2 linked regions of the Drosophila melanogaster genome follow. The protein of the gene in region 2 interacts with the protein of the main gene of each other region in a biochemical or structural test. Each region holds a gene or a part of one and is shown on either strand. Other genes may lie near its edges.

Region 1 (5,853 bases), about 12 Mb from region 2:
TCGGCAGCAGCTTGGGTGACAAGTGACGCTGCGACTCACATAGCTGCAAGTATGGTAATAGGTGCGATATTGATTCATTAGGAACACATTTCCAATCGGAAAACTAGGCCCAAACGTACGCTAATGTTGTTGGTGTCCAAATCGATGCAGGTGACATCCGTGGGCGGCTCGTACAAATCGAAGAAGCGCGAGTCCACGCCAATGAGATAAGGCAATGGGGCATGGAGCACCTCCGCCAAGCCCAGCGGACAAAGTGGGATGTACGGACACTGCCACTTGAACGGAAACAGCAGGGAGACAATGGCTTCGGCCACAGCAGTCAACGTGGCAGGTCTGCGGCGCGAATAAATCGATATGTAGGATACGGTAAGGATATTCGGTACATGTGATGCACATACCTGAGTGAGTGGATGAGTATCTTCTGTTCGGTGAGGGCCAGCAGCAGCACATGCAGACAGTTGTCGGTGCCCAGGTTCTGGAGCAGTATGTGGAAACCGGCGCCACTTCGCGGCAGCGGGGAATCTTCCGGCTGTGTGAGCAGTATGCGATCGTTGGACTCGCTGGACAGCTGCAGGTGAATGCTGGGCGCCGGAAACGGTACTTCGTCCAGCAGCTGGGTGATGTAGCGCTCCACGGGAATGGGTATATTAACGTCATACAGAACCATTCGCTATAACGATAAAACCAGATATGGATTAGATTCTATCAAAGTTATGGGGAGTGTAAGCTCACATGAAGGTACTTCAGCCATTTGTCGAAGGTGTCGCCAAAGGGATGATGCGACAGCAGACATATAGCCTTGATCATGTGCAGCGAGTGCTGGGCGCCGAACTCCTCGTCCCAACCGAGCAGCTCCTTCTGCTCAGCCGACAACTTTGACTCACTGAAAGTGTAAATCCTTAGTGTATATAATTTTTGAAATATATTCAATTGCAATTTACTCGTAATCCTCGTAGAAAGTTAACGCCGATCCGTAAACCTTGTAGGTGCCATCGCTCACGGTGAGCACAAAAGTGCTGAACACCGGACTGATGGGTTTCCGCTTCTCCGTGCCGTTGACGTGTGGCCAGGCCTCCAGGGAGGCGCCCATTGGCAGGCAGAAGAGCGGCACGCTCGGGCACAGATTCAGCGGGAAGTCGGTGTGGTCGAAGGTGGGGTAGCGCAGCAGGATCTCCGGCTTGTAGCTGATGTGCTTAGGCCGGTACATGGACTTCTTGTAGCACAGGTAGACGTCGCTGCCAACATAGCCCTTGTTCAGGGTCTTGTAGATTAGGCAAAAGGCGTGCGGAGCCCGCTCACCCTTGCTCTGGACAATGACGCACAGTTCGGTGACCACCAGCTCGTTGCAGGGCATGTCCGCTCGGGCGCGTCGGTACGTGAGGAACGTCTTCGCGGACGAGTTGTTCACATTGGCCACCCTGCCGCCAGGCGTCTCCGCAACGATTTCCGCATCCGACATGATCCGCTCGTGGCCATCGTACAGGACTCCTGCAAGAGTGGAAAAGATTAATATAAAAGTCAAGTTTTATTACTTAGAAATGACGACGCAAGCATTTAATCACCTATAACTGTACATTTTATATTGACTGTGAACGATTTTATTTGATTTAAATAAGCAACAATTTGTTGGCTTTATCACGAGTCGTGTCGAGATTACAATATTTAAATTTACTTTCGTTATCAAGAAATAAAGCCCAGTCTTTCATTTCGATTTCTTAAATCTACCAAAAATAACTTGGAGTTCTTAGAAAAAAAAAAAACACAACCGGCAGAAATGCACCCACCTATGTCCACCAGCGGCGGGCGATCCTTGCCACGCCGGAAGTAGATGTAGCAGTCGGTGGTGCGGACCGATCCGTGATTGAGGTTCGCCTGTAGACCCGTGGGCGTGTGCGAGAGGATCTCGTATCCCTCGGGCACCTCCTCGCCCAGCAGCGGGAAATAGACGCCGATGTCCGTGATCGGTTCGATGGTGGTGGCCGCTCTCAATCTTCCCGAGTCATTGAAGCTGTTCTCCTGCAGCAGCTGCGGATTCTCCGGCATTCCGGCCACCACAAAGTAGTCGGCGATGCGCTTTTCCTCCATGGCGGCGCCGTTTCCTCTGCAAGAGACAGCAAAAGACCCCGAGTGAGTGGTTAATTTCTTGGCATGGCGGGACTGGCAGACCAGATAAGATAAGGTCGACAGGGAACACCAGTTCTACTAGTTGCGGTGGCTCCCAATTTCACATTAATTAATATTTTGTTAAGTAATCATCACCTGGGGCCAAAGTTAATAGTTCTTCTTCCGAGGGTAAGATTCAGATAAGCGGCACGCACAAGTAATCGTGTGATTCCCTTGGTTCGTGCAACGGACATGAGGAAACATATATAAATCTTTATGTTTTTAAGATTTCATGAAAAGAAACATGTTTACTTTGCGGTTTTTCGAACGATGTGAAAATGATGTTATCTCTTGAAAACCAAATGGTAAAAAAGCTGAGAACTGATATCTTTAATATTTCATCACATCCGATCGCATTACCCACAAAGAAGAACCGCAAGATATTATGATTATTTTGTGGGTGACCCACTGGAGTACTGGTTGGTGACACCAAGCGCATGCTTCACTGTATCTTTGCCCGCTGGGCGCAAAATGCTTTTGTTTACATATCATATAATGTCGGCGTCCGATTGGAATTGCATGCATTAACTGATATTCTGATTGGACTTTGTATGCTGGCGACTTTTTTTTTATGCTTCGCGCGGCAGCAGCGACAAAAGCAACAGCAACAACAGCGACAGCAAGAACAAATGGAGCTGGGGAAAACAAGTTCCGCTTGATGATTCAACTTCCTTCACTTCCGCTTTACAGCACAATAGCACCAACGCATTTTGTTTGTGTTGATTGCTGATGCGATGTTTTTGTTTACAGGAGTCCAATTGGCAGGTGTGAGTGGAAGACGTAGGGCACAGGGCGCAGGGGAAGAGGGGCTGGCTGGTTAACTTACTGCACTCCCGTTAGTTGTCCTCCAAGGGGGCGCGGGGACGAAGGGGGCGTGGGCAACCTTCAGTTGCTTTTGCTGTTCGCCTTGGACTGCAATTGTCGCTTTTCCTTCGCTTTTCTTCTTCACACTACGTTAATTTCCACACACCAACACTCACCGCACGCACACACACACACACGCACACACAGTTGGACTACTTGAGAGTTTTCCTTTACATCATTTTCACAGTTTTCCAATTGGACTGCTTAACTGGGCCACTTTGACTAAGACGCGCCAAGTGCGTTGAAATCCACGAATTTAGCTACTTTAAAAGCTACGCAAATACGTGTGGAGTGCAGTGGACAGAAAAGTAAGGAATAATGTTCATTTAACTGGCCTGCCAGCCGTGTGCGCGGCTCGGTGTGACTGGCGGAATGTGCCAATCGCCTGTATGCGCTGCTTGGCGAACTATATAATTAACATGCAATACGAAACACGCGACTATTATTATCGGATTTACTATTATTAATAACTATTTGGCCTTTGCTTCAGGCCATTTTCAGCGTTGCCAGATAAGACTAGCTTTTGGTCTATCGATAAGCCTAAATGCTGATTACTTTGAAAGTATATCATCGCCAATCGCAAACTTTTTCCGCCTGGTTGAATTATAATTTTCAAAGACTAATTTCAAACAATTTGAACGGAGTAATTACAGAGGCCACTTACATGGATGCGTAATAATTTATTCTTTATTCTTTAATTTTGACAGCTGTTTTTTTATTTCTATTTGATATATTTAACGCTTATCAAATCGATAACGATGCCTTTGGATGCCTACTACTCTCGATAGACTCACCGTGGCATAAGTTGCCATCTCTAAATTTCTGGCCATCTCAATTGCAAGCTTGAAACGTGTGAAATATGGAACAAAATGCGAAGCCTAAACGCTCCTTTAAGCGTCCGTTTACCTTTCCAAAGAACTGTGTTTACCGCCCTCTACGTCAGATAAGCAACATGGAGCGTAGCCAGAAGCTGTCCGCCGAACAACCCACCTGTGAGTAAGCAATGAATGTGGATTCGCAACGGCATCCATATGTGTACTTCACATTGCAGACTTCACGCTCAATGCACCGCCCTCGTTGGTTCCGGCCAAGAAGTACTCGGATATCAGCGGTCTGCCCGCTCCTTATGCCGATCCGCACACGAAACTAAGGTTCGCCAGCGCCGACGAGTACGCGTCCATGCAGCACATGCCCTCGGACATCGTCAATGGCTACCTCATGGTGCGCGGCTATACCAGCGCCGTGGGATAGTTTGTTCGATCCATATACTGCATACATCCCAAGTACTCGCTGTGTTCCGCACCTGGAGGCCTTGCGTTGCAACTACCACTCATAATAGGCAATTAGAGCGCTGCTGACCTTACTCTTACTGGCATTGCGTGCGAGGCTGTTGCTTTCAAGTGATTCGATGACTGTTTCCTGCCTGGAACACCGCGTTCAAGGGGAGTTACATCCACAATTACCATATATATATATATATGCATACACTGCCTAAAAGGAGATGATCTCTGTAAATTAGTTATAGAGATTTGTCACTAGTTTGACCGCAAAAATAGATTAGGTAATTCCAAGGTGAGATGAATACCTTGGCGGTTTGAAAGTGTCTAAATTAACGAAACGGCTGCCACATAGATCCTAATGCGAAAAGCAAATATTTAAACAGCCGACTCGTGCAAGTTTGGAGTTCGCAATGAACGGCCCACAGATTAATATAGTGTTAAGTTAACCAGCTATACAAAATTCAGCAAGAAGGCAAAGTAAACAAAACTGAATAATATGATTAATGAGTTTAAGATATTATATTCATTTTCTTATCGGGCATTTTGGCGAAAGGACGATTTATAAATGTTTCATCAACTATATTCTATACTCGCATAGTCATTATTATTGTGTATTATTTGAGGACGATTTATAAATGTTTCATGAACTATATTCTACATTCGCATGGTCATAATTATTGTGTATTATTTAGCAGCTATCAGAAGTACCAAAAGCAAGTTTCTAAAACTTTTGTAATTACTGGGGCTTCTCCCTCGTTCGCTCAGGTCCTCCATTCGTCATCTCTCCCGAAAGTGTTATTCGAGCTCCAATACAAAGAACCGGACTAGTGGCTCCGTGATTCAACACCATTTTTCCACCTCATTCCATTTTGTGGCAGTCGACTCCGGCTTATTCCTTACGGCTTTGGACGCTAGCCAGCTTGGTTGATGGGCCGGCTAATACTGTTCGGCTGTGTCAGCATCTGCAGGTCCGAGCGGAAGCTCCTTGGCAGCCCCGAGATGTCCAGCTGGTGCTTGAGCACCACCATGGTGGCCAGGGTTTTTAGAGTGGGCTCAAAGTCGAGCACATGCAGATCGCTGTAGTCGATAAGCGCCACACCGGGCGGAACAACTCCGCCAGCCGCTGCGGCTCCGCCCGTCTCTTGAGTGGGTGAAACAGCTGCCGGCGAGCTGGAGGAGCCGCTCCTTGGACTGGTGCCGCCAAACAGGAACATCCTAGTGCCCATCACAATGGCGCACTGTCTCCGACGCGCCGTCGGTGCCTTGCCGTTGGCCCGTATCAGGTTCCACAGCTTGGTGCGCGGATCGAAGGTGTACAGATCGTTGAAATGCTGATCCAACAGGCCATTATAGCCACCGAAGACATATATCAGCTTGTTGTAAACGAACATGCTGTGGCTGCGTCGACCAACGGGCACCTTACCGGCCGTGAACGGTCGATGCCACACCTTGGTCTTCATGTCCAGGTAGACGATCTCGTGACAGTAGGTCTCCTCCTGGCTGTGGTACGGACTGTGCTTATCGCCCCGCCCGCCGAAGATGTACA
Region 2 (6,492 bases):
CGCTGTGCGGCAGCATCGCCCCGATGGACGAGTGCGTGCGGATCTTCCAGAAGGCGACCGGTGAGTGCGAGATCCCCGCTAGAATTCGCATTAATTACTCCGTTTTGCAGACTGCTCCGTGGTCTATGCCATCGAGGCGGCCACCTTGCATCCAGCACAGTGCCTGAAGATCGAAAAGCAGAAGGGCACCCTGGACTTTGGCTCGGACGCGGACTTCGTTCTCCTGGACGACCAGCTCCGGGTGCTATCCACCTGGATCGCTGGCGTATGTGTTCATAGGACTGTCAAGTAGCGCATCGAATGTGCAACTGTTGCAATTGTTTTTATTTACCTGATGCAGGATGCAGGATTCTACACCGAAGATTCTCCAAATAAATTGTTAAACTTATACATTCCAATTGAAGGAGCTTGAGATTCTTGTGAGTGCAGCCAAGGATGTTCAAATGAATTGTTTAACGATGATTGTTTGCCATTTGAAATAAGGAATCACTCACTGGTTTATATGACATGGTTTAGGTTGTTCTTTATATTTTAATCGGTAAATCATTTGGTGTGGACAACTAAACTAAATCCATATACAGTTACAAATAATAGGTTTACACGACAAAAAAAAAAGAGTAGAATAAAATTACAAGGAGACGGGAGGCGAGCGCTAGGTGGTGCGTTCGGTTTGGGGCGCTCCTCCCTTGCGGATGCGAATGCAAATGCGAATGCTACATTGATGGCGTGCACCGTCCTTACATACAAGCATGGAGATATATACGCGCGCACACCCAAGCCCCCTTAAGTGTACACAGATACATACATATATATTATATATAAATTGGGTGTGCGGGCGCGAATGCACATAAAAACGATGCGATATACGGTGTGTAATTTCATATATGTATATATATATATAAATATATATTTATATCTAAATATCTATATATATATATATATATATATATATATATATATATATATATATATATATATATATATGCACAGGCAATAATCAAAAACGATTTCGGAACACCTCGATCTCGAAACTCCCTATGGAACTGCAACTCTGGCCGAGGATCTGGCTTGAAAGCTTGAGTGGCCAGGACGCAGAGCAGGGCGTACATCACCACCCGCCCCATCGAACTCCTCGCTGGCTTGGCTTGGCGTCGACATAGAAAGCGAAAGCAAGCTAAGTAGGTATAGGCTATATACTACTATCCGATGTATAATATGTATAGGTGTTATTTATATCTAGGCTGAAACGCAAAACAAAAACGAAACACTAAGTGGGGCGGCTGGGGAGTGCGAGTGGTGGCGAACGAGCGAGCGAGCGAGCGATCGAATGACTGAGTACAGGAATCGTAAGACTATATGTGTATCAAAAGTACGTTACAAAAGTTGCTTATGTCTGCGTCAGCGACATCAGCGCTATCATTATCGTTTCTTGTGGCTGGACAGTGGCTGGAGCTGATCCTCGTTATCCGATCCACGTTAGTCAACCGATCGAGTGCGGCATGGATATGCAGATCCTTGCGTCCACGTTGTGTGGGCGTTAACTAACGTGGCCCATGCCCGACCACCATCCATCGTTCGGAGTTTTGTAAAGTTGCTTCCAAATGTTCGTATTACAATATCTGTTGCTTGTTGTTAAACTTTAGGTAGGTTGTTTCTGTTGCTTGTTCCATTTTGCGTATCCTCGTAATAAGTAAGTTTCCTACGTGCGAATGACCCCGGCTCTATTGCTTTGTTTTTTGCTTCGTCCGTGCGGAGCGGTTTCAGAAACCGGTCCCCACTGCTTTCGGTTCGATTCGATTCGTTTCGTTCCATTCCAATTCAATCTAGTCCAGTTTAATCCAATCCAATCCGTACTTCGCCGCCTTCCCCACGCACAGCTGAGCACAAACCGGGCCAAACCACGCCCCGTTCGCCTAGAACGCCGCTTTTTACGCGCAGCACTTGCTGTAGCCCGGCGCCTTCTCCTGGTTCCGGCGATCGATAATCACGCGCTCCTGATTCTCCGCCGACTCGCGTCCTGATGTCTTGTCCAGAATGGCCTCGGCCAGCTCGCAGAAGGCCCGCTCGATGTTTATGTTCGACTTGGCGGATGTTTCCATAAACCGAATGCCATGTTCACGGGCAATCTAAAAAACGTGGGCAGAGATGGGGAAGGGGAGCAAGTTATTGGCTTTGTAAACAAATTGATCAAACAGACGTGGGGCGTGTGCGATCATTGAGTAACAATCATAATAAATAACCAGAATAGTTCTAACATAAATTGTATGCCTCCGGAAATTTTCCCTTGCATTCATTACCACGGACATACTATAGCACCTAAATAGTTTCGTCTTGATTGTCAGAGAACGAATATATTCGCTGTGTTCAATTTGCAAACTTATCTTAAAAAATCAAAACAATAGGAAACTATTAAGGGGCATGGAATTCGCTTGTAAAAAACAGTTGGCTTTGAAAGCTAAACACACTAATATATGATCGATTTCCGAACTCAACTCCTATGGCAGAAGAGCTTAACGATCTAACTACGACTATATTTCCTAATCTCTGACAGTGATTGCTGTTGTGGGGGCACTCTGTGGATGAGGGATGCTCACCGCTTCGCCGCGCTCCTTGTTGACCACCCTCTTGTCCGTCATATCGCACTTGTTGCCGAGGATCATCTTCTCCACATCCTCGTTGGCGTGCTAAAACAAAAAAAAAAGAAGAAGATTTCAGACTTTAGAAAAGGCCATTACTCGCAGGGGAAACACCTACCTCGTCTATATTCCGTAACCATTTGACTATGTTCTCGAAACTCTTCTCGTTCGTTATGTCATAGACCAGCATTATGCCCATGGCGCCTCGATAGTACGAGGTGGTTATCGTGTGGAACCGCTCCTGGCCGGCGGTGTCCCATATTTGCAGCTTGATCTTCTTGCCGCGCAGCTCGACTGTTTTGATTTTGAAATCGATGCCTGAGAAAAACGGTTGAACGAGAAAGCAAATGTAGTGCGGAAAAACCAACGCAATTTGAGCCGAATGACGTCACGGCGGTGTTATCGATTACATTGGAATTGAATAAAATAAAGCAGTTCGACATTGATATCACGATGATTCATTACATTAGACGTATATGAAGCATTCATTCCAACCAAATGATCACACGTCTGTGTTACGTGTTGCGAACATGCAGTAGTTTAGTACGAAAAGTTCAAGTTCAGGGAGTTACATAGCCACATAGATGGCATATTTTGCTCACTTCTCCTCCGCTTTCCACTCCGCAGGCGATCGAAACAAGCAGTGCATAGGCCAGTCGATAAGGCAGTGCCACGCCCAGTCACACACCCACACACACGTATATATATCCTGGCTGTGCAGCTGACATGTGCGCGTGTGTGTGTGTGTGCGGTGCGGGTGGACAGATGCAAGTATGTGCGTACGGTCCCGTTACTCACCTATGGTCGATATGAACGTGGACGTGAATGCATCATCCGAGAACCGGAACAATATGCACGTCTTGCCCACTCCTGAATCACCGATCAGCAACAGTTTAAAGAGCAAATCGTAGGTTTTCTTTGCCATTTCCAAAACGCAACGGAACGCTCGCAGAACAAAGCACAAACACACGCGACACTCACACGCACGCAAACACACACACACACAAACGCACGGGCGCAGGTGACAAGAGATATTATTATTATTGAAGCGCCTGCCCTTTTTCGCTCTTTCTCTCGGTTATGGCCGCCTAAGCAATGATCCTGTATCTCGAGCTAGCTCTTTTTTCTCCGCGTGTCTTAAATGCGCCGAATTAATTAATATTTTCGCTTGAAATTGTTGCTATTAGAACTAGAGCTGGAACATGAATCGATATCTGTTCGATACCATCCATGCTCTCACCAGTGTGGCAACTTCGATGGTTTAATACAACTATCGACTGCTATGGAGTCACAGTTTTGAAATCACAGCTTAAAATCTAAAGAAAGATTTGAGTTTACTCTTGATAATACCTTAAATGCTTAAGTATTTTTGCTAGAAAGCTCATAACATGACTTTTAATTATTACGCCATTTGGCAGACCTCTGCTATCGGTACGACAGCCAATCGATAGGTAAGCACGCATTCAATTATCGGTATCGTAAAATAATAACAATTTCGCAAAATCCCAAACCGATTCGCAAAAAGGTGGATTATTCACACAAATCAGAGCGAACAACGTTTGGATTACAGTGATCCCAATCCCAGCCAATCCACCGCAGGCAATGGACATCGACTGGCAAAACGGCCTCACCGAGCTGAAGGATCGGGGCCAGTACCTGCTCCACTCGGAGAAGTGGGCCGACTGCCGCTTTCTGGTGGGTTCTTCGCCCACCCAGCGGCTCATTGCCGGCCACAAGCTGCTACTGGCCATGGCTTCGCCGGTGTTCGAGCGAATGTTCTATGGCAACCTGCCCGATAAGACGGACCCCATCGTCATTCCGGACGTGCAGCCGGAGGCGTTCGAGGCGATGCTGGAGTACATCTACACGGACCGCATCACCATTGGGTCCTTCGACAAGGCCTGCGAGCTGTGCTACGTGGCCAAGAAGTACATGCTGCCCCACGTGGTCACGCGCTGCACCCATTTCCTTTGGGCTGATCTTAGTCCGAAAAACGCGTGCCGGGCGTACGAGTTTGCCAAGCTGTTCGATGAGCCGCGCCTCATGCAAAGCAGCATGGATCTGATCGCGGCCAACACGCGCGAGGTTCTGTCCGATCCCAGCTTCCTGGACATCGAGGTCTCCACCCTGATGGCCATTCTTGACCAGAATCGCCTGAACATCGACTCCGAGCTGGATTTGTTCAACTGCCTGCTGAAGTTTGCCAGTGAGCGGGGCATCCTGAACGAGTCCGGCCAGGAAGAGACTGCTAGCGGAGGTCAGGTGCTGACCAAGGAATCGCCCGACAATGCTGCCGGCCATGTGCTGGTCGAAGAGATCAAGATGGAGCCCGATGTGGCGGCCATGGTGCAGCACATGCACCAGGACGACGAGGCTGACAGCTTCGAAACGGACGCTGGGATGGCTTCCACTTCCTCTGCGGCTGCCGCGGCTGCAGCTGCGCCCACGGCTGCCTCCCCGCCGCTGGACGTGGCTTCCGGCTCCGACGACCTGGTAATCATCGATAGCGACGCTTCGGCCGATGCCGCCGCCAACATGATTAACATCATGGACGCCCAGCGCACCATTCTCGATGGCGCCATGCTCAGGCAGGCGGTCAAAAAGATTCGCTTTCTCACCATGACGCCGCAGCAGTTCGCGGAGGGACCGGCCCGTTCCAAGCTGCTGCAGCAGCACGAGGCCCTCTCCATCCTGATTAAGATCTCCAGTCCCTCGCTCAACGATTGTCACATGCCCGAAGGCTTCTGCGTGTCGCGGAGCACGCGCAACTTCTACGAGTCGGGCCACCGACACGCCCAGAGAGAATTGTCCTCCTCGTATCGCACTGGAGCCGCTCCCTCGGGCGTCTGTTTCCCGGGACCGGGACCGGCAGTTCGCAGCGGAGGACCCTCCGGCGGCGGTATGATGATGGGCATTGCGCCCCGTTTCGGATCCGTGGGCACGGGATTCGGCTTCGCAGGCGAGGAATTGGTCATCCGCCCGCCGGAACCGGTGGGCGTCCCACCGGATGCCGCACCTGCGCCAGCACCACTGCGCTGCTTCGGCGAGGGCTACGAGAGCGGAGCGCCAGTCCCAGCGCCCGCCAATGATGATGATGGCGGCGATCGAGGCGCACCGGCGCCCGCTGGCGGCGCTGCAGCTGGAGGAGCTGGATCCGCAGCTGGAAATTCGCACAACGACATGGTGCGCGCGTACTGTATGCGCTCCCTTACCCGGCAATTTGACTTCCGCAACACCAGCGTCACGGATGCGGGCGTAACGTTCCAGGTGGACACCAACATTTGGATCCTGGGCGTCCAAGTGCCCACGCGCGTGCTGTGCGGCGAGCTGATGACTTCTGCCGGTTTTACGGAACGATACACCGAGGTGCTGTACGCCCACATCCAGGACATGCACGGCTCACGCATCACATACACGCACTGCACGGCACGCGTGCGTTACGATTCGCTGCTGGACATCACGTTCGATCGACCGGTGTACATATACCGAAACCAGATCTACAAGATCTACGTGGTGTTCAACAAGACCGGCTGGTATCCCATGTACTCCTGTGTGCCCGATGCCAACTGCAATCGCGTGAAGTTCATGTTCAACGTGGGCAACCCCACCGAATCGGTTCGCGACGGCCTTATCTACGCAATTATCTTCTCCACACCGCAGGACCATGGCCGTCACCTGGTCGACTGAATGCGGAGCAATATGAGTTCGTTAGTTTAGGTCTCCTTCCTTGTATTTCCGATGTGATAGTCTTTGGTTGGCGTCATTGGCCATGGAAATTATTTGATCTGTACGATTATATTTCCCCTTCTCCTAGTTCCAAAATGGGAACTAATTGTGCATAGTTTTTACATCACTT

What was found. Proteins that work in one complex are often made in the same cells at the same time.
Region 1: of the proteins of Rab10 (region 2) and Crag, one has a biochemical effect on the other in vitro, tested with the Drosophila melanogaster proteins (one study listed by BioGRID).

What each region holds. Positions count from the first base shown.
Region 1 is NC_004354.4:8,589,728-8,595,580, reverse strand, and holds the start of Crag (Calmodulin-binding protein related to a Rab3 GDP/GTP exchange protein), read right to left. Parts: upstream 3,551-5,853; 5' UTR 2,990-3,550; intron 2,102-2,989; 5' UTR 2,086-2,101; coding exon 1,785-2,085; intron 1,489-1,784; coding exon 942-1,488; intron 884-941; coding exon 733-883; intron 671-732; coding exon 399-670; intron 334-398; coding exon 120-333; intron 44-119; coding exon 1-43. Other genes in the region: CG12659 (uncharacterized protein), read left to right, coding at 3,887-4,019, 4,079-4,278; CG12081 (uncharacterized protein), read right to left, coding at 5,219-5,853. UniProt on the Drosophila melanogaster protein: Calmodulin-binding protein that acts as a guanine exchange factor for Rab10 and Rab11. Essential for maintenance of adult photoreceptor cells.
Region 2 is NC_004354.4:20,248,700-20,255,191, reverse strand, and holds Rab10 (Rab10), read right to left. Parts: upstream 3,855-6,492; 5' UTR 3,562-3,854; coding exon 3,435-3,561; intron 2,955-3,434; coding exon 2,755-2,954; intron 2,685-2,754; coding exon 2,595-2,684; intron 2,127-2,594; coding exon 1,929-2,126; 3' UTR 501-1,928; downstream 1-500. Other genes in the region: CG17065 (uncharacterized protein), read left to right, coding at 1-60, 111-292; CG17068 (uncharacterized protein), read left to right, coding at 4,239-6,323.